Arabidopsis thaliana: one gene and its partners. The protein of the gene in region 3 interacts with the protein of the main gene of each other region in a pairwise test. Each region holds a gene or a part of one and is shown on either strand. Other genes may lie near its edges. The genes, in order: CPK26, AT3G57220, AT2G38510 and ATERDJ2A.

What was found.
Region 1: the proteins of AT2G38510 (region 3) and CPK26 interact in a protein complementation assay, tested with the Arabidopsis thaliana proteins (one large-scale study listed by BioGRID).
Region 2: the proteins of AT2G38510 (region 3) and AT3G57220 interact in a protein complementation assay, tested with the Arabidopsis thaliana proteins (one large-scale study listed by BioGRID).
Region 4: the proteins of AT2G38510 (region 3) and ATERDJ2A interact in a protein complementation assay, tested with the Arabidopsis thaliana proteins (one large-scale study listed by BioGRID).

Annotation. Positions count from the first base shown.
Region 1 is NC_003075.7:17,927,809-17,933,494, forward strand, and holds CPK26 (calcium-dependent protein kinase 26), read right to left. Parts: upstream 3,695-5,686; 5' UTR 3,393-3,694; intron 3,375-3,392; exon of another isoform or gene 3,302-3,374; 5' UTR 3,294-3,301; coding exon 3,244-3,293; exon of another isoform or gene 3,231-3,243; intron 3,151-3,230; coding exon 2,576-3,150; intron 2,500-2,575; coding exon 2,356-2,499; intron 2,277-2,355; coding exon 2,124-2,276; intron 2,052-2,123; coding exon 1,936-2,051; intron 1,862-1,935; coding exon 1,694-1,861; intron 1,608-1,693; coding exon 1,383-1,607; intron 1,300-1,382; coding exon 1,186-1,299; 3' UTR 1,157-1,185; intron 1,094-1,156; exon of another isoform or gene 1,071-1,093; 3' UTR 1,009-1,070; downstream 1-1,008. Other genes in the region: AT4G38225 (glycerol kinase), read left to right, coding at 1-388, 477-677, 764-799, 963-974; CGL1 (alpha-1,3-mannosyl-glycoprotein beta-1,2-N-acetylglucosaminyltransferase), read right to left, coding at 4,198-4,314, 4,399-4,569, 4,669-4,707, 4,783-4,845, 5,076-5,169, 5,285-5,375, 5,477-5,538, 5,644-5,686. UniProt on the Arabidopsis thaliana protein: May play a role in signal transduction pathways that involve calcium as a second messenger.
Region 2 is NC_003074.8:21,172,626-21,178,214, reverse strand, and holds AT3G57220 (Glycosyl transferase family 4 protein), read right to left. Parts: upstream 3,821-5,589; 5' UTR 3,700-3,820; coding exon 3,332-3,699; intron 3,109-3,331; coding exon 3,021-3,108; intron 2,897-3,020; coding exon 2,805-2,896; intron 2,726-2,804; coding exon 2,607-2,725; intron 2,524-2,606; coding exon 2,408-2,523; intron 2,300-2,407; coding exon 2,172-2,299; intron 2,065-2,171; coding exon 1,978-2,064; intron 1,864-1,977; coding exon 1,803-1,863; intron 1,718-1,802; coding exon 1,677-1,717; intron 1,591-1,676; coding exon 1,470-1,590; intron 1,371-1,469; coding exon 1,311-1,370; 3' UTR 1,021-1,310; downstream 1-1,020. Other genes in the region: AGL16 (AGAMOUS-like 16), read right to left, coding at 324-505; AT3G57210 (uncharacterized protein), read left to right, coding at 4,262-4,367, 4,483-4,853.
Region 3 is NC_003071.7:16,122,108-16,126,502, reverse strand, and holds AT2G38510 (MATE efflux family protein), read right to left. Parts: upstream 2,519-4,395; coding exon 1,058-2,518; 3' UTR 968-1,057; downstream 1-967.
Region 4 is NC_003070.9:30,067,557-30,074,254, reverse strand, and holds ATERDJ2A (DnaJ / Sec63 Brl domains-containing protein), read right to left. Parts: upstream 4,737-6,698; 5' UTR 4,586-4,736; exon of another isoform or gene 4,543-4,585; intron 4,267-4,542; exon of another isoform or gene 4,264-4,266; 5' UTR 4,233-4,263; coding exon 4,047-4,232; intron 3,969-4,046; coding exon 3,873-3,968; intron 3,783-3,872; coding exon 3,662-3,782; intron 3,548-3,661; coding exon 3,441-3,547; intron 3,355-3,440; coding exon 3,137-3,354; intron 3,029-3,136; coding exon 2,851-3,028; intron 2,774-2,850; coding exon 2,654-2,773; intron 2,432-2,653; coding exon 2,345-2,431; intron 2,185-2,344; coding exon 2,074-2,184; intron 1,858-2,073; coding exon 1,018-1,857; 3' UTR 815-1,017; downstream 1-814. Other genes in the region: AT1G79950 (RAD3-like DNA-binding helicase protein), read right to left, coding at 1-189, 439-675. UniProt on the Arabidopsis thaliana protein: Required for integral membrane and secreted preprotein translocation across the endoplasmic reticulum membrane.

The DNA of each region.
Region 1 (5,686 bases), on a different chromosome or scaffold from region 3:
CCGTTACAGCATCGACCAGAGGATCATCGGGGGAGGCAAATCCTCTGCATTAGCCTTTTCGTATTCTGTCACTGGCTCCTATGTCGCTGTGTGGCCTTTGCGGAACAACCAGCTTGAGGTGGAGCATTGTCTGATCAATCCAAAGGACAAGGAGTCTCGTGTGAGGATTTTCCAGGTTGTCAGCTTAGCAGAGACCACCAACATGTCCTTGCAGAGTGTCAAAGTTTTCTGTGAGCAGTGGTACGGTCCGTTCAGAGATGGCGATCAGCTTGGAGGCTGTGCCATCCGTAGCTCCGGCTTTGCTGCTACACCTACCACTGCAGCTTCAGTGGTTACCGGTTCTTGGAGAGTTCTACTTGCTACCACTAGCTTTCACGCCTCTGATTTCGTGAGTTGGCGTCCTTACACTGTGTATTCAAGTGTGTACTTCCATTCGATGATTGCCGTAAGTTTGTTTATTTTGTGAGTATGTTCAGGGTTGTATACAACAAGTTACTGGCGAGAAGGTGATTGAGATTGTGAGAGAAGAAAATGATCTTTTATTGCTTCCGCAAGAGCTGTGGTGCTCACTCCAACAAGGCAAAGACCGCGAAAGAGTATTTTCAGTAGGATGGGTCTTTGAGCCAGGCCATGCTATCACATCCAGCTGCGTCTTCTCTAGCGATTCTAAGCTAAAGGTAACCAATAATCTTCTTTGTTGACAACTACATACTCTTCTCCTTGCAACTTGTGGTCATTATTCTATCTCTTTTACTTTGCGCAGGAGGTAACAATGGGGAGAGAGACTGCTCTATCAGATGTATGATCAATAATCGTTTAAATCTCCACAGATCATTCTTATAATTTTCTTTGTAGGATGTGTGCACATAAGTCAAATTACAATAATCTCATATGACTTCCTATACTGATGTTTGATTCAGTTTATCTGTTAATAATACATATCAGTTCGTTTTAGAATGCAGAGCCTTTGTTGATTCAATCTTTACCGGGAAGGATCCAGACCATGGGAACCATATTTCTGCAGAGCTTTGTAGCTTTTGCATATCTTCGTTCAGCTCTATCAAAAACGACTGTTTCACGTACACCGATGTATAGACTTGTCAGTTTGGGAAAGAATTTGATGGAATTTACCTTGAAAAAGTGAGAAAGGCTTAACCTGTACATAATCGTGAGATTGCTTGCTTCTCACTGCGAGACGGCATTGTTCCTGATGCTCATGTTTATGCTTTTCCTCATTGTTCTTCCAACAATGCCTTTCTGCATCATAGCTACAAACTCCCCGTAGTCAATCCTTCCATCCTGAAACAAGAAGAAAAAAATGATCCCTGGCCTTTGACCATGTACTCTCCAAGCCAGAGGATATGTATGCATAAGTCACTCACATTGTCTTGGTCGACTTCCTTGATCACATCTTCTAGAAAGACATCACTCATTCCCTGTTCAGCACATGCGTGCTGTAGCTCATCGATAGTGATGTAACCGCTCCCATCTTTGTCAAAGTACCTGAAGGCTGACAGAAGATGTTCTTCACGCTCTAATTTGTTCAGATGGATTGTTGCAGCAATGAATTCACCATAATCTATGGTCCCACTCTTGTCAATATCTGCCTGGTAAATCACAGTCACAGATTAATACTAAACATACTGATTTCAAGCAGGTACTCACACAGATCAGATCAGAGCAAAGTGCTTACAGCCTCCATAAGGTCACGAATCTCAGTATCCTTGAGGGTTGAACCATATCTTCGCAACCCGGCTTTCAGCTCGTCAAACGTAATCGCTCCACTGTTATCCGTGTCCATTGCTTTGAACATTTCCTTCAGTCCAGCAATTTCTTCCTCCGAGAGACTCTCAGCTATTACCTGAATCACAGCAGAAGACATTTATGGAAAATTGTTCACAATAAAGGCCAAAAGGCTTGCGGCCGGGGGCTTACCCGTAAAGCCATCTGCTTTAGTTTATTCATCGCAGAGAACTGTTTAAGACGAGAAAGCACAGCAGGATCTAGTGCTCTGTCTGGCGCAACTCCATTTTCACAGATCCAAGGATGGCCTGCAAAATTCTAAATAAGCTAGCAGATACACTAATTCAGGACCTGAAATAGGAGCAACTGGTTAGACTTACGCAATACTTGATGAGCTGTCAGTCGCTCAGAGGGCCGGGAACATAGCATGCCACGGATCAAGTTTTTTGCAGAGTCGGATATTAGGGGCCAAGGGTCGGAGTCAAAGTCAATATGTCCCTTCAGCACTGCATCAAATATCCCTTGCTGTGTTTCTGGAGTTGAAGCAAAACAAATATTTAAGAATCTTTTACCTTGGAAGCCTAATCACAGTTGTTTCATTTGGGTGCATACCTGCCCAGAACGGAGGGACTCCGCTCACCAATATGTACAGTATGACCCCTGCGGTCCACACATCAGCCTCGGGTCCGTAGTGCTTGAGCAGAACCTCAGGAGCAACATAATACGGACTTCCAACCACATCCTCGAATATTTGACCTGAAAGTTGCAGATGATGTAGCAAGTGTGAAATTCTGACTGAAGATGTTGCAAATGATGCAGCTGATGTTATCACCTGGTTTGAAGAACACGGAAAGCCCAAAATCAATGGCTTTGAGAGAGAAGTCGTCGTCCTTGTTAACCAACAAGAAATTTTCGGGCTTTAGATCTCTATGCATGACACCAAGCGAATGGCAAGCCTCAACAACACCAACGATGATCTTTATCAGCTCAGCTGCTTTTCTCTCGCTGTAATGTCCTCTCTGGATAATTCTGTCAAACAATTCCCCACCTGAGCAAAGCTCCATCACGATGTGAACATACAATGGATCCTCGTAAGCACCTTTAATGGTGACAATGTTCTTGTAGCCAGCCAGATGGTGCATGATTTGAATTTCCCTGCGTACGTCTTCCACATCTTCCTTTGATATCAACTTTCGTTTTGTTATAGACTTGCATGCGTATTCACGCCCTGTTGAGATCTCTTTGCACATGTAAGTCGTCCCAAACTGTCCTTGACCTAGTTTGTGTCCCAACGAGTAGAGATCTCGGATGCTTGGGGTCTTTTGACCAAGAACATAGCAGGCTTGGTTCCCACCGCTGTGCTTCATTGTGGCTTCTTCCTGGGGGCGTCTTTTGCCAGTTTGTGTGCTGAAACAAATCGTTGAAAGACAAAATGTATTAGAAGTGGTTTGGCTTGTAAAGAATTGCCCATCAAACAAATCCCTTACCAAGTTAGTTCACCTCCCCTTCCAAATTAGTTTGCCATCAGAGGAAAACAGAGCAAGTCCCATAGCAAGATCTGAAACATTATACGAATTTAGCATAAAGAAATCGCAATAATAAGGAGAGACATCAAAACAGGGGAATTAGAGGAAGAGATGGATGTGTACCAGACAAAGATGATAAGAATGGATGAAAATTAAGTCAGATTGGTGCAGATCCGATGATACACATTGTTGAACATGGTTTTGCAATATTCTCGCCAACGTCTCCACATCCTGACTAAAAATAACAAAAGAAGAAGATATCTTTGATTAATAGTCATCAACAGATCTGTCTCTTTAATTAGAATATTCTAAAAATGCAGGGGAACTCCACAAGGCTCTTTTCTTAGGCCTACTTCACATGAGACAAATCAAGACCTCCAATTGGTCGCATCGGAACAAACCTTTAATGATCCCATGGCCTCAGATTCTAGTTGACGGGTTATACCAGAGAAGATGGGTCGAGTGCCTTGATTGGCTACTCGCCAAAGATGTAATAAAAGTTACTTCTTTGAAGCAACACGCATTATTTAGTACATGTTTGAAGAGATATGTACACTAGCAATAGAGAAGCCAAAACAAGTGGGACGAAGAAAAACTGCATAGAATGATTTGCATTCGTATAAGTTACCCACAAGATAATCACTAATAAAACAACTGAAATATATTTAACCCTGACCCTTTCAAGGGGTTCCCATAACTTCTAAGCCAATCAGCCAGGTCACCAGAGCTTCCTTGCTGTTAAAGTTAACCCCACCGCTCGACAAACTCATCCATAAATAACAATACAACCTAACAGCTGCTAGAAGGAGGCTGCATGCGGTCCAAAATCTTCTTTTCCTTTCATCTGCTTGTGAAACCCGGTTAGCACAGAACTGTAAGCAATGGTTAAGATGTAAATGATGCTGGTTGGAGAAGTACATGTTTTGCATCAGGAATTTCGAATTCCAAGCTGCATTACAGAATCTGGCCCAACCAGGAATACACGTCTTGTTGTCTGGATTCGAAACACCACTACTCCTTTATATGCTGTTCGAGGCACACCATCCTACACAATCAAAGGGGTACAAAAAAAGTGACCCATTTGGACCTACAATTATTGAAGATTATAGTTCAATCATCTCAAATTTACCTTCCATTCTTCAAATATACCAAATTCCCCTGCAATGCGTTCAAACTCTACTTGGTCTTTATACCGGATACGAACATCATCCTTTATGTTTTGAGCCTTTAAGACAAGGTCAGAACCTTGAATTGGTCGTGCTTGTCTCACTAAGCCAGAAAAGTACTTGGTATAGTTTCCCTTTGATAGACATGAGAGAACAGGTTAAAAACTACATTTCTCCACTCAAAACATGCAAAATGGTATAAAAAAAAAAGGCCGGAGTTCTGTAAATGTTACCTCTGTCAGGTATCCCAGGTCCTTTGCTTTCCAGTCAACCTTTATGAATGAAATAGGAAACCAGTGAAAACTAGTGATGCAACAAAAGGGGGTAAAAAACACACTTACGCTTACCGTCACATCGTTTAGCTTTATAGGTTCCAGATACTGACTGAAAAACTGTCCCAAACTAGACCCCTGCCAAATTAATATAACAAGGTTATGGATAAGTATGAAATGCAAAAATATATTATGTGGTATTGACTGTCTACATCCATGTGTCGGGAAACTATAGGACGAAGCTGCAATAATACATTTTTCATACAGAAAGCAGAAGTCATATGCAGCGAACATAGGTCAATTTAACAGCATTACAAAAACAGACTTGTAAAACTATGATATATAGGATAGCATAATCGGGTACTAACATGTTCACCAAAATTGTATGTTCTACAGACTTCCGGTCGAATGAATTGGCGGCCTTTATGGTTTTCCTTTAGTCTCAGCCAATCATCCCAGTAAGTGGATATTTGTTAAGAAAAGTCTTAGAAACGTCAAACTATTTTTTTTTTTAGAATTTAAGAAGCGTCAAACTATAGTCATCGAGATTGAAAGAAAAAAAAGCATATAAGGATATGCCTTTGGCCACTTTGGTGATAACTCATCCCAAGTCGATCTCTTGAGCATCCACCCAAGGCCAGGAAAAAAATCTGATCGGTATAGCGCATCTGCAGATTATTTTAGCTCGCATGAGCTAGACATAATGAGGTATTGAAAGAACAGGCAAGAGAGGAAGCAAGGTAAAGAAGAAGAAGAAGAAGAATCTTACAGGGATCATGCACAAACTGCTTCTGTCCATTATCATTCCATGATGAAGCAGCCATAATGGTTCTAACACATGTTTGGACCAGAAAAGAATGAGAAACAGTAATAAAAACATTTGTATACTCTGTGGAAACTTATACTATAAGAGTCTAGCTTCAGTAGGTAACATACTTATCCCTATCCATGAGACTAGCTGCAGCCTCAAAGTAATCAA
Region 2 (5,589 bases), on a different chromosome or scaffold from region 3:
CAATAAACACCACAAGTCCCTCACAATCTATGTTCCACACAAATATCGTAATCATCTCCAACAACACAGAGAACACACTCTCATATTCCCCTTACAAAACATATTATCATTCAAACCAAGTGATTTCTTCTGCAAATTATCAGACTAAGTTGATCTACGATTCCTTCTCTAAAGCAATTGAATTTGCAAACAATTAACAAGAAATCGACTTAAGAAAGAAAAAAAAAAATCGAGATTTAGAATTTGCTACATCAATCAATCAACCAATTAGATGGACCAAGACCCAAAAAAAAAGTCAACCAAAGAGAAAAGAAAAAAGGTACCTGGAGCTGGAGAAATCGTAGAGCCTACCGGTGCTGGAGAAGATGATGACACCAACCTCAGCATCGCAGAGAATCGCAAGCTCCTTAGCTTTCTTCAACAATCCATTCCTTCGCTTCGAGAACGTAACCTGACGGCTCGTAGAGTTATTGATCCTCTTAATCGCGATCTTGCCCCTTCCCATTTCTGCTTCTATCACTTTTACACACAAACATCATCGTCAATTTCAAATCATCATCTCCTGAATCCAGGGGAGATTTTGAATAAAATAAAAAAATTGAACATTTACCTTTTTCAAAGAATAAACTAGATCGCGGGAAACGAGATCTGGTAATCCGATAACCGGAAGGGGGAGAAGAGAAATTGGTTCAGTTCAGAGATGTGGTTTTGTTGATCGAAAGAGAAAAAGGAAAGAGAAAGAGAAAGAGAAGAGAGAGCCACATAAGGAAAGAACATATGACAATTTGGGATATTTAGGGCAAAAGAGTTTTCTTACTATATAAACATACTTCGCTTGTTATGTTTTGACACATGGCATTCTATAAGTGGGTTTCTTTTCCGATTCTCCTTCTATTTTTTTATTACATTCTTTATTATTCTAGTACGACAGTAGTCTGTCTAATATTAAAAGCGCATTTTTAAAATTCAAAAATATATGTAAATGGACACTTCATTTAATGCATGCTATATTAGCAAAACTTTAATCTAAAAATTATTTAGTTTATTAATCAAAGTTATCAAAATAAGATCAGCATTTGTAGTTAAATTTAAATTCCAAGACAAATTTGTTCTGATTCATTTCATTGGCTTTATATTGTTGAGATACACTCGCCTTTAGATGAAAACTCTCTATATAAGTGAACTAAAACGATGATTCTAGTAGATTGTTGGACATGAAGCAAAACAAGTTCTGTGTTTGTATGATTTGTGAAGGCAGAGAGAGAGATGAAAAGAGGAACAGGTTTAGAGTTTCTTCATGTTGCAGAGATTTATTTGTACCAACCAGCTAGAAAATGCCTAAGCATGAAACAAAATGCGCAAGCAAGAGCCTGCAATAGAACACACAAAACACCAATCTTGTGATTTCTCTCTCTCAGAATAAACCAACTTGTATTTAGAGATGATAATATGGGCATTAACAAGTTTACCTGGAAAACAAGAAGATGAATACATAGAGACTTTTCTGTTTTCCTACCAAAAATCCTCAAGTAGACGTTCACGAGTGTCCCATCTTTTGTTCCTGTTAACAGTCCCGTAGCAGGATCATACCTGGTTTAAAAAAGAGAGAGGAAGAGTCATGTGTTGTTTACTTGTTGGCTTTGCCTCTTATGAAAAATGGACAAAAAATAGCTTACTTGGGGAGACGATGTCGTGGACATTTGACAATGCCAGCAAGCTGAAGAGTTATACAATAGCAAGTTAGATGCTTTCAAATGTATTGAAAAGTAACAGAAAGTGTGAGATGGAGAAAGGTATCAAACCTGCGGAAGTGACAGTAAAAAGTTCAACACTTGAGGAAGAAAAAAGATTAACAGGGTTTCACTGCAAAAAGCAAAGTTTCATAAGTAGTTAGTTAATTGAAGGCTCACACATAAGTTAAATGTAAATGATGAATCTAAGTACATTGCAATAAGGACGGTATGGTTAGAAGTATACCTGAAGTGACCGAGAATGCCAACAACTGCCATAGTCATTCCAGCAAAGACTGTGTAAGTGTCTCCAACAAAAACTGCAGAAGGGTACCTAACATCACCAAAGAGGGGACATGAACGTGGTTAGAGAAAGCATTCTGCTTTGCTAGTTTACCTGATTGATTTAAGAGAAAATGACTTGAAAGATCCAAAGATTACCAATTGTAGGCAAGCATTGCCAAGGATGTTGCCATCAATGGCTGAGTAAGATAGATTGAGAAGGCATGAGCTTGATGATACTCAGTATCAACAGATGCTCCGATTTGCATAACGTTGTGTATCAGAATCTACAAGTTACTGAGATTTATCATAACTTTACTTACGAGAAACCAACAGAAGGAAAAATGGGACCAAAAAAATGAAGCATTGCGACGCATTTTGACAGCAGAACTTACAGCAGCTGCAATAACTACGGTTTGACCGATTTCAAGGCCATTCAAACCAGCGTGAATGTTAATAGAATTTGTGCAAAAGACAGCCAGTAGCGCCATATATAACTTATATATACGTCCTGCCACGATAAATATACAACTAAGGAAATGAATTTCAAAATAGCTATTGATGGTTTAACACTATATACAAGATGAATTGTACCTAGATCAAACACTTCCAAGCCAATATAAGAAACTAAAGGTTTCGGTATGACGATAGTTGTATGTCCAGCATAAGCCATCAACAGTGGAAGGGTTGCAAAAGATGGCAAGAGAAGTTTCCTGCAAATTGACAAGAGTTAATAAGAAAACAAAACTAAATCATGAATTTTTAATCCAACAAAATGAGAACTGCACCTACACTCTCCAAGGCACATCAAGGACGTCATCTACAAATCCAAGCAATATCATGAAGCAAATAGACGCCAGTGCTGCATTATACTCCACAAGCCACTGCACCGAGTCATTTAGCCAGATTGATAAATTGCATTCAAAGTAAATGAGCCAAGAGCTACCAAGTTCATAGTTCACAATAAATAAATGATCAAGCTTGAGCTTTTGAGACCAGGACACTTACCACCGAATCTTCAGTGAAATTAAAGAACTGAAATACAATCGCCACTATCAAGAAGACAATACCGACAACAATTCCCAATGACTCAGGCCTACAAAGAAATAAGATTGCTGAAAATAAGCACATCAAAAGACTTTAAGTCCCCTGAGATCAAATCAAGCGTAAACATCCATAGAACATCAATCAGAAAATGAGACATCTCATAGTTTTCCTCCTATACAAAAAATCAAATCTAAGAGACATCCATTTCTAGAAAAACGCTGAACACTAATCTGAGAACTAAACAAAGACAAATCTAAGAAGGAAAAACATACACTCTAACTTCTCCTTGAGGAGTGCCTCTTTTGTTGATATCAAAACCAAACATATTACGCCTCAGAACGTATCTAGCAGCTACAGGAATCAACTTGAGTGTGACAAAGAATCCAACCAAGCTAAGCCCAGCGTTAATGAGGATCGGACGCTTGAGCTCATTGTCAACATTGTAGTGGAAACAGAGAAGGTAAAGATAAAGCGAACACAGAAGCGAAGAGATCACGAAAATCACGCCCAATTTCGGCGGCGCGAGCTGGAAATCCTCTCCGGAAACAGAGGTCTTCTGAACCGTCGGGGAAGATGCAGGTTCAGGTAGAGCTAGTTTCTCCGAATTGGACACTGAAGGAGTTCTCTTACGAGCAGTCATGGCGGATCCGTTGGCTATTTCTGGTTCCCCGCCTCTGGATTTGCTTCTTCCACTTTTCGCTGAAGCTTCAAAGCCTGTAGCATTTAATTACAACTTGCCCACGCACAACAATACGACATCGTATCAACACCACTTATTTATGAATTATCAAAAAGGCCCAAAAAAGCAAAGTATAAAGAAATAAATAAGTCTATGGGATTCATGTGAAATTAGGCAAATTACTAATATCTTTTTTTTTTATATAATCAAAGACTCATAATGTAAGAAAGAAGTTAACAAGATTACTATTAAGAATGCATCCCATAGACTTATTTAACTTCTTTGATTATCATCTCTCTTTGTGAAATTAATTAGGCAATTACTAACTATACTATCTTTTTTTTAATCAAAGTGTAAGACTCTTGTCTTCCTTTCTTCTCTTTCTTTATCCACTCTTGCTCTTCTTTTTATTCAAATTTCGTTTTTGATTTATCAGGGGACAAACTTAAAGCTCTCTCACGTTAAGAGATACAACAGGACTCTGGCTGCTGGTGCTTGCTGTTTCTACATTACTTTGGTTGCAATGCAGCCATCTAGTGGAAGGCGTTTTACTTTTCAGACTTCCGTTTATGAAGAAGCTTGTGGCCGGCTTGTTTTGACCTCCTTTATTGCTGAAAGACGTCGTCCAGGTAATTAAATTATTATTATACTACATGTGACTCCTTACTTGGGTAGGCGTGTTCATTAACACATCATTATTATTATTACAACAACTAGTATTTCATTCATCATTGTATATTTTAGGGACAATCATTAAAACGTCGTTGGAAAGAGAATTCTACCGCATGGGTAGCTTGCCTGAGTTCCCGCTGGAGAACCCTTTCGAAAACAGAAACCGATTTTACGTGGTGGATGATGAATCAGAGCTGCGAGCCAATGACTGGATTCGTCTGTATCTGGAACTTTCTGTTGCCATATCTGATAGGACCACCACGGATCATGATCTTTCCGGCTTGAGGATTGTGTCAGTAGCCATTCAAACTATGGAGCCACCCAGTGAGTCCTCTCTCACTGCTAAGAATGCAACTGTCTACATAAGGTACATTGACTTTTGTAAGGCTCGCTGTGGTCAGAACCTTGATCGCATAGCTGTAGTTAGAAGAAACCTTCAATGAGACTACGGGATGCTTTAGTCTCGACGGTTGGAATCAAAGCTCAGATATCATACCCAAAAAGAAGGCTACGAGTAGCAAACTTCTGTCCCAGCGTTTAATTCACAAATCACGGCAGATATGGCGGCGGCGGCGCACAAACCATGGCGTTGGCTTGGCTCATCGTCTTCGCAAAACAAGATCCATAGAATCAGCCATCCGAAAGTATACCCAAAAAGGGTACGAGTCTGAGCGTGAAACTTCTCTTACGGCGTTTCAGCATTCCCAAACCATGGCGGATATCTAAACTTTGACGGCGCAAGGCTTACAAAAACCATGGCGGTTCAAAATTTGGATTAGAGATGATATTATTAAACTTATTAATTTGGTAAAATGTTAAGTGGACTGGTTTCTGTGTGTTGTACGGTTTCCTAAATGTCTCCACCTTGAATAGTTTCTGTATGTAATAAGAATTTATTTTAGATTTCAGAGTTATGTATCACATGAAAAAGGCACAAACTATAAAGTATTTAAGAATATGACCATCTTTTTCTTTTGTATCAAAGTGTAAGAAAGATTTTAACAAGAAAAGTTTAAACAATGCAGTAACTACTAAATCATACGTCCAACATGTATAAGTTCTTTTAAGTTGTTCTTATTGGTTGTTATGGTCCACAACCTTATCAGTACTTGTCAATGCCTGGTTGCTACTAATTTGACTTAAGTACTCTCTTCTAAATTATTGCTCATGTTCTCAGTC
Region 3 (4,395 bases):
GTGTCACGTCCTTCCATCTGATCAACAATGGGTTTGTAGTCTTCTGGCAGACCCCCGAGAATGTAATCAACTTGATCTTCATGGTCAATGATTTTGCCAATTAATGCCAACTGATCAAATCGATTGATAAAGCCTTGAACGTACTCGTCGATGGTGCGGGTGTCTTTCTTCCATTGTTTGATTTGGTGTTGGAGCTGTTTGATATGGCCACGACTCGGTTTGGCATAGGTACCAGCAAGAGTGGCCCAAACATCAGCAGAGGTAGCGGCGCGGGACACCGTTGGTTGGACGGTGAGAGAGAGAGTGCCGATGAGAGCACTGAAGATCAATTGATCTTGTCTACTCCAGGCTTCATACTCAGGATTCACAGAGGCAACGTCGTTGACGGTAATCTCACGAGCTGGAGCAGCTTTTGTCGCATCAAGGTATTGAGTGAGACCGTAGCCGTGAAGGAGAGCGTGGACTTGGCGGCTCCACATTATGTAATTGGAGGCCGTAAGTTTTGTCACATTCGACATGTTCATGTGAACAATGGAGGTGTTGTTGAGGTTGACGGTTTCAGAAGAAACATTCGACATGGTTGAAGTTTGAAAAACAGAGGAATAAAAAAATCAACGGGGGAGAAGAAGAAAGAAAGGAGAGAGGCGGCTGTTTTTAGGTTTTTTATTTTTAGGTATCGATGATGCTCTGATACCATATAAAGAATATAGAATTGGATGATTTGTATTGAGATGATTTACATTGTTTATATACAGACTAGATGTTCTAGAGACTTCTAATTACAGAATATATAGTTTACATAAGTAGAATTGTGATTGATCTTGATTGATCCTTGATAGATTCGTCACAACTGTTCTCACTACATACTTCTGCGTGTTAGAAAAAGCTAAGCTCAACCAATTAAATGGCTGAGTCTTTTCACAAAATCTTAGTTAACAGTTCGGACACAAATCTATCTTCGGTATTTTTAGTTTGCCAAAAAAAAAAAGTTTCCTATATCATTAACAATCCGTTAAAAATTGTCGATTGATAATTTTAACATTTCTAGCTAAACTAGTCAATTCGTATTTTGTAGTAAACCAATCTCCAGATCATTGCTACTCACATCATCATCGTCTTGTACTTCAGCATGGACGGTTTCGTCTTCCGAATGGCTTTTGTCGGCTGCAGCGGAGGTAAGTTCCTCTGCCCGCTTCACTTGATGAGACCAGTCCGTACGGATTAACGTATAAAGCATCATTACCAAACACGTCATCTGCGCAGATAACAGTCCAAACCATAGCCCACGAAACCCAACCTTAAACCCAAACGTGGTCGTAACTGCCACAGGCAAGCCCACAATGTAGAATGCGCATAGGTTAACGCGTGCTCCATCTTTAGGCCTAGCCGTCCCAGTCAAGACTCCGCAAGCAGCCGTCTGTGGCGAGTTTCCAATCTCGCAAAGCCCCAAGATCGGAAGCGCAGCCGAAATAAGCCCGAGAATCTCCGGTTCGTCCGTGAACATCTTTCCCCAAACCGACCTAAGCGCGGTCACAAAAACAGCAGCTGCTAAACCGTACGCTACCGCGAGTATCAAGCCAATCACGGTCGTACATTGTGCCCGTGTTGGTTGGCCGCCTCCAAGAGCGTGACCTACACGGGTTGCAATGGCGCTGCTAATAGCAAACGGGACTACGTATAGTATCCCGGTGGTCTGAATCAATATTCCCATGGCGGCCACGCTTGCTTTAGGGTTCCCAAGAAGCCCACAAAGAAAAAGCATGATCTCATACCACCAATACTCCAAACACACCGAGATAGCGCTTGGTGCGGCTAGAGAAAGCAGCGGCCACCAGCCGCGGAAAAGTGACCGCAAAGCGAGCCCTTCCCACGGTTTGATTAGAGAATCCGAGAAGCACGTATAAACGAGCAGTCCCACGTCGATATTCATAGTGTTGAAAGCCATTGCGATGGCCACACCCTTAACGCCTAAACGCATACGCACGACAAAGACGTAGTTGAAGAGAGGATGAAGAAGAATGGATACAATGGCAGATATCGTGAGCGGTGATGTTAAGCCTTGCGTTCTAAGGAACGTTCGAAGCGGATGGAGCATGGCCTGAGCCAAGAGCTCAGGGACGAAGAAGAGCATATAGGTTTTGGCTACCTTGGTAATATCTGGGTCCTGACCCAACCGTAGGAAAATGGGTTCGATGTTGAGCCACGTAACGGCGATTGGAACAGAGACGACAATTAAGAGACAGAACATTTTCTGAAACGTGTGGCTAAGTACGGTCCAACGTTTGGCTCCGAAGGCTTGGCCACAGATTGGGTCCATACCAACGGAAAGGCCTTTAAGTACGGAGACTCCAGTGATGTTTCCAAAGCCCATAGCGAGTGCACCACCAGCGAGTTCGACTTTTCCGAGATGACTCAAGAACCACATTGAGATTATTGATCTTGAGAATATGAGGAGTGATGTCATCACAATCGGGCAAGCTATTTTTGTGAGTGACGCCATCTCCTCTCCCACCTGCATGGGAAAAATAAAATTAAAAAATTATGTTATTTTTGTTAGGTTTTTCAATTGAACAACTCTTTATTTTTTCACATGTTCTATAGGCTTCTAGTTCTAGCAAAACGCACTCGAGAAGATATTAGTGTATAGAAAGAGCGCAACACGAGTATGTTGTATATTAAAAAAAAAAAAATTATCCTCAAAATATGATTTAGTCTTTAATATCCTTTTTTAATCATGTTTAATATTTTGTACGTGATTTAATTTCGTTTAATTAACGATATTGCACTCACTAAAAATATTAAATTTTCTGGTATATCATTTATTAATATTTTTATCACAATAAACAAACAAATTTCTTTTCTAATAAGTTGTATGAAAATGGTATTTATATGAGCTTTTTATACATGAGTTATTAAAAAAATCATTGTACCTTAATTGTTTCTTTTTGTCAAATAAAATCTTAAATTAATTTTATTGTGAAACAGAAGGACATTACATTACAATACGGAAAATGATATTTTATCATATTATAAAATTAAGAACAATTTGTAAGCACGAGGAAGATGGTCGCATCACATGGCCACTGGGACTGGGATGAGAAAGTTGAAAAAGGAAGAGAAAAAGGTTTAAACTCTATAACTTTTAGAACTGAATATATAATCAAATTCACAAGTGCCAGAAAAGCGAATGGCTAACTGTACCAACATTCTAGGATCTTTTTAAATAAAAATCATCATGGGTTTTTAAAAGCTCACCTTTTTTGTTTTCTTTTTGAAAAAACAAAATCAGCTTAGATATTACCTTTCATTTCATGATATCTTCATTAAGAATATCCACATTTTAAAAACATATAAAAAATATTTTACGCATAGATACTTGTAAAAGTATCATGAACTACTATTGACATTTCATAAACAATCGGATAAGGATTTCAAGAAAATAAATCGGAAAGTAACTAGATTATATTTGTACTAAGTAAAGAAACTGATAAAAAGAATAGAGTGAGAGGAAACCTATATAGAACACTTTCCTAAGTAAGTACAACCCAACTGTCAAGAAATATAAAGTAAGTACAACACAAAAAGCATCTCTTTCAGTCCATGAAAGTGAGGATTTATCATACTAGTAGTAAGTAGTAACGCTTTAGGCATAAATATGAACATATATACACATATATATATATATATATATATACAGAGAAAACTTATATATAAATGAATTTTCAACATTGTATTTCTCAAGTACGTGAAAGATAGATGAAGCATTATTCATGCTATGTTTTTAAAAGGGATGCATTATATTCGGTTAAAATGCTATAAAAACAGTCAAAAGAAGCATTCAATCCAGTATAAGATCAATTTCCAAGAACTACATATTATTTACCAGACCCAAAAAATACTGCGAAAGTGACTGAAAACAATATAATAATCCATCAAAAATCACCAAATTCTCTGGTTAAACGTAGCAAACGTCTCTATATTAGGATGGTCCTGATCACGAAAACTAGTAGTACAAACAAAAACACAAGAAAACTATGAAATCAAAGAATAAGCAGAGTGATGACTTGTCAAAGCTAATTGGAATTTTTTTGTTGAAGAAAATGTAAGAACAAGAAAAGAGAAATTAAAGAAAAAGAAACAAGCCTCATTGAAAGGGATGCGACGGAGACCAGCAGAGAATTTGGCGCTGCCGCTATTTTCTCCTTTGACGGATGTTGAAACATCGCATTCTCCATTTATAATCTCTCCAGATTCACTGCTTTCCATGTTAGACCTGCACATGCTCATATATATTTGTATATACTATATACTATATATCACACTTCTTCACTTATATCAAAGAGATTTATATGTTGGTGACTACGAAAAAAGGGTTGCCATAGAAGCTAGCTACGA
Region 4 (6,698 bases), on a different chromosome or scaffold from region 3:
AAAAGCTCCTCCTCCTCCTCCTCCGGATTGTGACAGAGGCTCGTCTGAATCGGACCAAGGAATGGCACTGTTCTTCCGATCCTTACGGGTTGAGAAAGAGCCCAGACTCTTTCGCCAGGCTAAGGTGGCACAGAGAAGACAAAGAGTTTTCCCAGTTCCCGTAGGACTCTCCAAAAGCGCATGACATTTCTGCATCATCATCACAAGTTATAAACAAGATTAGTTAACAACTAATTCAGCGTTAATTTAAGAACCCAAATGGTCAGTGTGAACGGGGAAGAACCCTAAAAAGCGATATAGAATTGGGGAAAGCAAAATAAACAACAGAATAGAGAGAGAGAGAGAGAGTATCATCACGCGAATATCATCATCAACAAAACAGTTGAAGAGAGTTGGTGTGTAAAAAAGAGAGAGAGAGAGAGGGAGAGGGAAACCCACGTTTTGAAGAGACTCGATGACTCTGTCCATGTATATGATCTGAGACTGGTACGCCTCGAATGGGAATTCAACATTGATTCCTCTGATGCTGTAATTTGGCATTTTCGGGTCGGATTCCGCCGATAACACCACAAAACCTCTCCGGAGAAGACGAAGAAGAAGACGGAAGCAGACGCGCCTCTTCTGATTTTCCCGCCTTGTAGGGCTTCCACTTCTTGAAACAACCGTAAAGCCCATTATAACCCACTACTTTATTAACAAGGCCCATTACCTGATACCTGATGGTCTGTATTGGGGCCCCCAATAAACCCTAAACCCTAAACTATTTGGGGGAGTTAAAAAGTTTTGTTTTGTTTTGTAATGCTGTGTACCAAAATTTGTCCGAGTTAGTACGATTTTCTCCTTAGTCGCGTTTTGCTTGTATGTGTGTCTCTGAAGAAAAGTGATACAGAGAGAAAGAAAGAGAAGGGAGCCAATGAGAGAATATCAAAACTGTGAAAAAGAAGTTTCCGTCAAGATTCCAGGACAAAAGTATTGTATTTTTTGTTTTGTTTATCAATGTAAAATCTCATTTCTGTTTCACTCTTCCTCCGATCCCGACTCTTCAGAACTCGACTCTTTCTTCTGTTTCACACTCCCATTGGCCTTCTTCGACCCTCTCTTCTCATCCATATCTTTCTTCTCATCCTCATCTTCACTGTACTCACTTTCGTAATCATCATCGTAATCCTCCTCCTCAATCTCATCTTCCTCCTCCATACCTTCTTCTGCAATCGCACCCTCATCTGAAACCAACCCACGTGTCCCTGCCCTGGTTCTTTTCAGGACTTTCACTTTCAGTGCTTGCTTTTTGTCACACCCGATCCATGTGTCACACAGGCAGAAGCAAGTCAAGTTGTATGTTCCCTCTGCCGGTGCTTGGAGTTTACCCATGACCAGCCTTGACCCTCCTTTAACCTTCTCAATCGCTTCTCTCACTGCATCGTTTGTTTCCTTCACCCCTGCACCCGAACCTTCCATTGACTCACTGATGGCTTTTGATGCAGCCGTTATCGCTCCACCTTCATCCAGGAAGCTAACCTTCTGAGAGAACCAAACGTTGTTCGACACTGAATCAGCCAGAAGAACCCAATAGTTTTCCTCCTTGTGGAAGGGGAAGTAGGGTGCATGAGGAAGAGCGCCTACAAGCCCATTGGGTCGTTTCAGGGTGACCCAAGCTTGAAGGGTCACAATGTCTCCCTCTTGGATCCCCTCTTCCCCTTCTGTTTCACATGTGATGTCGACTGTAATAGACGGCATCATTTCTAGCACCTTCTCAATGTCCTCAACATCAGTTGCTGATAAACCCGCTACCTGAGTAAGTAGTTCAGAACGGTCTTCCAACCTCATTTCTTGAAGATCTTGGAATGATTTAACCTTCTGAAAATAGGAGAAACAATGACATGTTAACATAAAATGGAGGTTTATATATGTCTTTAGACTAGACCTTTAAGTAAACCAACCTAAAGAACCACTACTACTTATTTGGAGAACAGAATCCAACAAGATTCTCAGGAATCAAAAAGTGAGAGAAAAATGCACATGATATGGAACTAGATATTAGTACTGCACTTGACACATTTGATAGTAGTATACCTTCCGTGCTATCTTTTTGACAACGGCATCACTGAAATGAGGGAGCTGTAAGAAAGGGGAAATGCCTTCTGATGATACTCCAGAAGACTTCCTTGCACTAAGAGGAACAGCCTGCGATTTTGGATTTTTAGTTTATGTTCCTAGACAACAACACTAAGCACTTCTTAAACTTTCAGGAAGAAGTAAATCTTGTGGAGAAAAGAGACATAAAGAACTGAAAGCTCACAAACAAATAAAAACTAGAAGATAGGCGATGAGAGCAATTTAAGACCTGAACAATGCACTGAGATAGCTCAACTACTCCAACTGCAGGCCTCAGCCATCCATGCCCTTGGGCAGTGCGTGGTATAACCGCCATCTGCAAGAAACTCACAATGTTATAATGAAAGAATGGTTAAGAAAACCACAATTTAACAGTGTAACCAAAAGCATCACTATTAACCTAAATTTCTAAGTCTTTTAAGAGTCTGTTTCGAGTTCCTCTAAAGGAAAATACATATCTTCTAGGTTAGCACTTTGCGGTCATCGCTTTTTGATGGTTATTTTATCAGAAATTGTGTTATTTAAATAGAGACTAGACCTTCAATAACTCCTCAAGGAGGCGAGGTGCAAGCTCTAGCACACGCCTGAAATCACCCTGAAGGGCTGGAGACAGGACTCCTGATTCACGAGTTAACTGGGCTTGTATCAACAGCTCGGTCTGTACAGAAATTGAGGAAGTGAGTATTTCAGTTTATCCAATATTTAGCATTACAGTTGCATAATTTTAAAATTCACCTTCACTATGGCAGGATGCTGTTTCCAAAACTTAGCTTGCTCTTGCTTCATGTTCTTCAGGTCCAAATTTAGTTCACTCCTAACAGACATAAAGAGCTTCTGCAGAGGTTCATCATCAGTTCTACGAACTGGAATCTCCATGTACTCAGCTGCCTTGGTGAAAACTTCCATAACTTTGCTGGACAATAAAAATTTTAAAACATGTCATACAAACAAACGAAAACACAGCCCATTTGTCATGCACCAATAGCATCACTTGAATGTATATGGGTATGAGTGAATATACCTTGGGGCCAGAGAGGGTTTCATTAGATAATAATATGCGGAGAGTGTTTGATGCATAACGTAGTTCCCAGTATACTTTGATGACCTCGAGAGATATATAACAGCAATCACAAGGGGCAAGAGAATACAGACACCAACTATCCAAAGCAATAATATGCCACCAGATGCTCCATCAATGTCTAGAAGAAATTGAGGAAGAGCAATGCCCATTTGAAATCCCTGCGATCACATAACAATATTTTAGTCTCAATAGGCTTGTCAATAAGACGGGAGCACATGCGAAGGGAAAGGAGATGTATCCTTACCTGTCTGCCATCTGGATGACCATACTTCTCAAAGTTTTCACGGGATACTGAATCAGTCAAAGCCTGGTATGCTTTAGATATGAACTCCACAAAATATTTATTGGCTTCTGTAGAGATCAACAAATGCGCATAGAAGAAAAAACTATCAGGATCAAAAGCTGCAACCATAATTCCGTAATGATCAAAAGGGAAAAAAAAAATAACAAGGGGAAAAACTTGACCTGGATCTGGATTTTTATCAGGATGGTATTGAATCGACAGCCTTCTATATGCTTTCTTTATTTCTGAATCTGTAACTCCAGGTTCCAGTCCAAGTATACTGAATGGGTCAAAAACTTGAGCCTGTAACACAAAAGAAGGTAAATAAGCAAGTAGAATTAGTTGATATAAGTCAGCGGTGCATTCAAGTTCAACAGCAAGCAATGGGATTACCTCACGGCTCATGTTCTTAGTGTAATAAATCAAGAAAATCATCACGACCCAGAGTAGCACAAGTGTCAAGTTGCTCCACGTAGAGAAGTTAGAGATCTGCAGATAGATAAGTGAAGAAGAGGTTAGGAACATGCAATAATCTATTACAGAGCAGGAGGTTGAGTGGAAAGTAACCTTTTTAAACAAGGATCTCTTATATTTTCCAGAACGGTCACACTCGAGACACTGACAATGAATGGTCCTTTGTTTCTTGGAGAGAGCACCGCTTAACTTGACCATGGTGTAAGGCACCAAAGGAATTGCCATAATCGTCAAGATAAAAATGGGAAACAATGCGCTATTCTCTTCTGACGCCGCCATCTTTGGAGCCTTTAAACTGAGAGATTCTATTCTGCTGAAAGGAAAAGCTCTGTTATAATCTCACAACATCCAAAAAGCTTCAAGGATACAAAATTATCAATAACATGAAAAGCTGGATCTGAGGCCACTGAAATTAATTAGGGATTCTACATGACGGAGATCAACACTAATAGATCTCGGCTAATCTAGTCTAAAGGTATATGAATCCCTGGACTCACTTTGAGATCGACACAAAACCTTAGAAAACAAACAAACGAAACTACGGGAAGGAAGCAAAACCAATAATTGGTGAAAGAAGATGAAATCGAACTTGAAAGGATATTGTAGAAGAGGAAATCGAAGAAGAAGCTCACCTAGGATGATAGCTCTCTATAATCAGAGAGATCGCGCTGCTGCAGATCGGCAACAAACGGCGTTGCAGTTTTTTTTTCTTTATGCTTCTCTTCTCTTCTAATTTCTGATTTCTGATTGGTGAGTTCTTTCTTCTTTACTTGCTTATTCACTTTTCTTTACCTTCTCAATTAAAATATTTCGCAATTCATTTCTCTCTTTACATTTTTACGAGTTATTTATTTTCCATTAAATTAGAGTAATTATTAATAGCAAAGTTTTTATGGTGAACGAAAACGAATTTCCCAAAAAAAATCACATTTTTTATAAATTAGAAAGGAAAAAGAGAAAAGGATATGGATCAAAGAGGGATTATATGCTCTAGAGATTTAATGTGATCCAGATATTGTAATAGGGATTGCAACAAATCTCTTATATGTTCTAGAGATTTAATGTGATCTAGAGATTGTAAATAGTTACAACAAAATAGAGATTTAAACAAAACAAATATTTAATGATTTTAAGAAAACTGTTTTGTTGTAACTATTTATATTTCGACCAGAAATAAATTGTTCTACTTGCAAAATACATCAATCTTCGTTATTATTATCGATTTAATCATAAACTGTCTAATTCAATTAAATTTATAAGAGCATGGTTACCAATACTTTTTTATCTACTGTAACGAAAGCTAATAATGATTTTGAATGAGTTTGGTATGATTTGGTTATTCGATTCACTAAAATAGTCGTTTTAAATCTAGCCAAATATCGTATAATTTTACTTGTTTTGATTATATTAAATAATCAGTTATTTGAAAACTTTGTTGACATGTTAATATTATATATAACTAAAACAAAATATAGATATTAAAAACAAAGAAAATGTTATTATATAGCTATTATCGTTTTTCATACCATTTAAATTTTATTACTGGCTTTCATATTATGATATTGTTGTACATAGACACCACTGCTAAAATGCTTATTAACTTGAGATTTTGCTTGTGAGATTTGGAGGCTAATTTTTTTCTCGGTTAAGCATTTCTCGCATCATATGCCTTCCACATAGTTTGAGCTTTTGTTCACCAAATGTTCTTACCACTCTCAAGAAACTGGCAGCACACGAATATGCTTTCCACATGGTTTGAGCTTTTCTCTTGGACAAAAACTCGTTCACCAAATGTTCCTACCACTCTCAAGAAACTGGCAGCACACGCATATGCCTTCCACATAGTTTGAGCTTCTCTCTTGGACAAAAACTCGTTCACCAAATGTTCCTTCCACTCTCAAAAAAATGGCAGCACACGGTGGAGTTTACCACATTTGAAAACAAGTAAATAATGTCTTACATAATTCACAGTCACTGCTTTCTTCGATCATTTTCAAGAATTTTGACCGTGAAATTTGCAATACCATATCTTCAAGAAGACATCTAAAAGGTTTTCGCAATCTGGTGATTAGGTTAATGCTCTTTTGTAATACATTTCTTTCATTTTATATATGATATTAACATTTATAACAAAAGAAAACAATCATAGCATATTGCATGTCATTGCAAGTTTGCTATATACAGTAGTTTTAAACCGAGTAAACTTAAGATCAGGTAGGAAAGATGCAAATAAAGAAGCAAGTGATACCAAAAATATATGTAAACATTTAATATAGTTCTTCAATCTAATTGACGATTAGAAAGTACTGTACTAGATGATTACGATCCAAGATTTTTGTCCACACTAAGAATATTTCACAAAATAAGGTTTGCAACAGTAGGATTGAAATGCCAGTAAACAGTGACATTATCTCGAAAAAATCCAACTCAGAAATCATTTACTAGCTAATAATATTTTTCAAATAGTTTAGAATTATTATTGTTGTTTATCATTAACGCATACAAAGTTAGTTGTATAATCTTTCAACTTATAAATAATTTGGTTTTGGACGGAAGAGCTTTACGCAAATGTATTAATTTGGTTTTGATAATTTTTATTTGTAGACTCGATTTGTTTACGTAAATTATGAAAGAGAGGCAAAAATAAATATCATAAGATATAGTATTAGAAGAAAAGGACATAAAAGTAGTAATTAAAAAAAAAAAGGAAAAGAAAGTGTGAAAAGAAAAAAGGAAAAGTAGAGA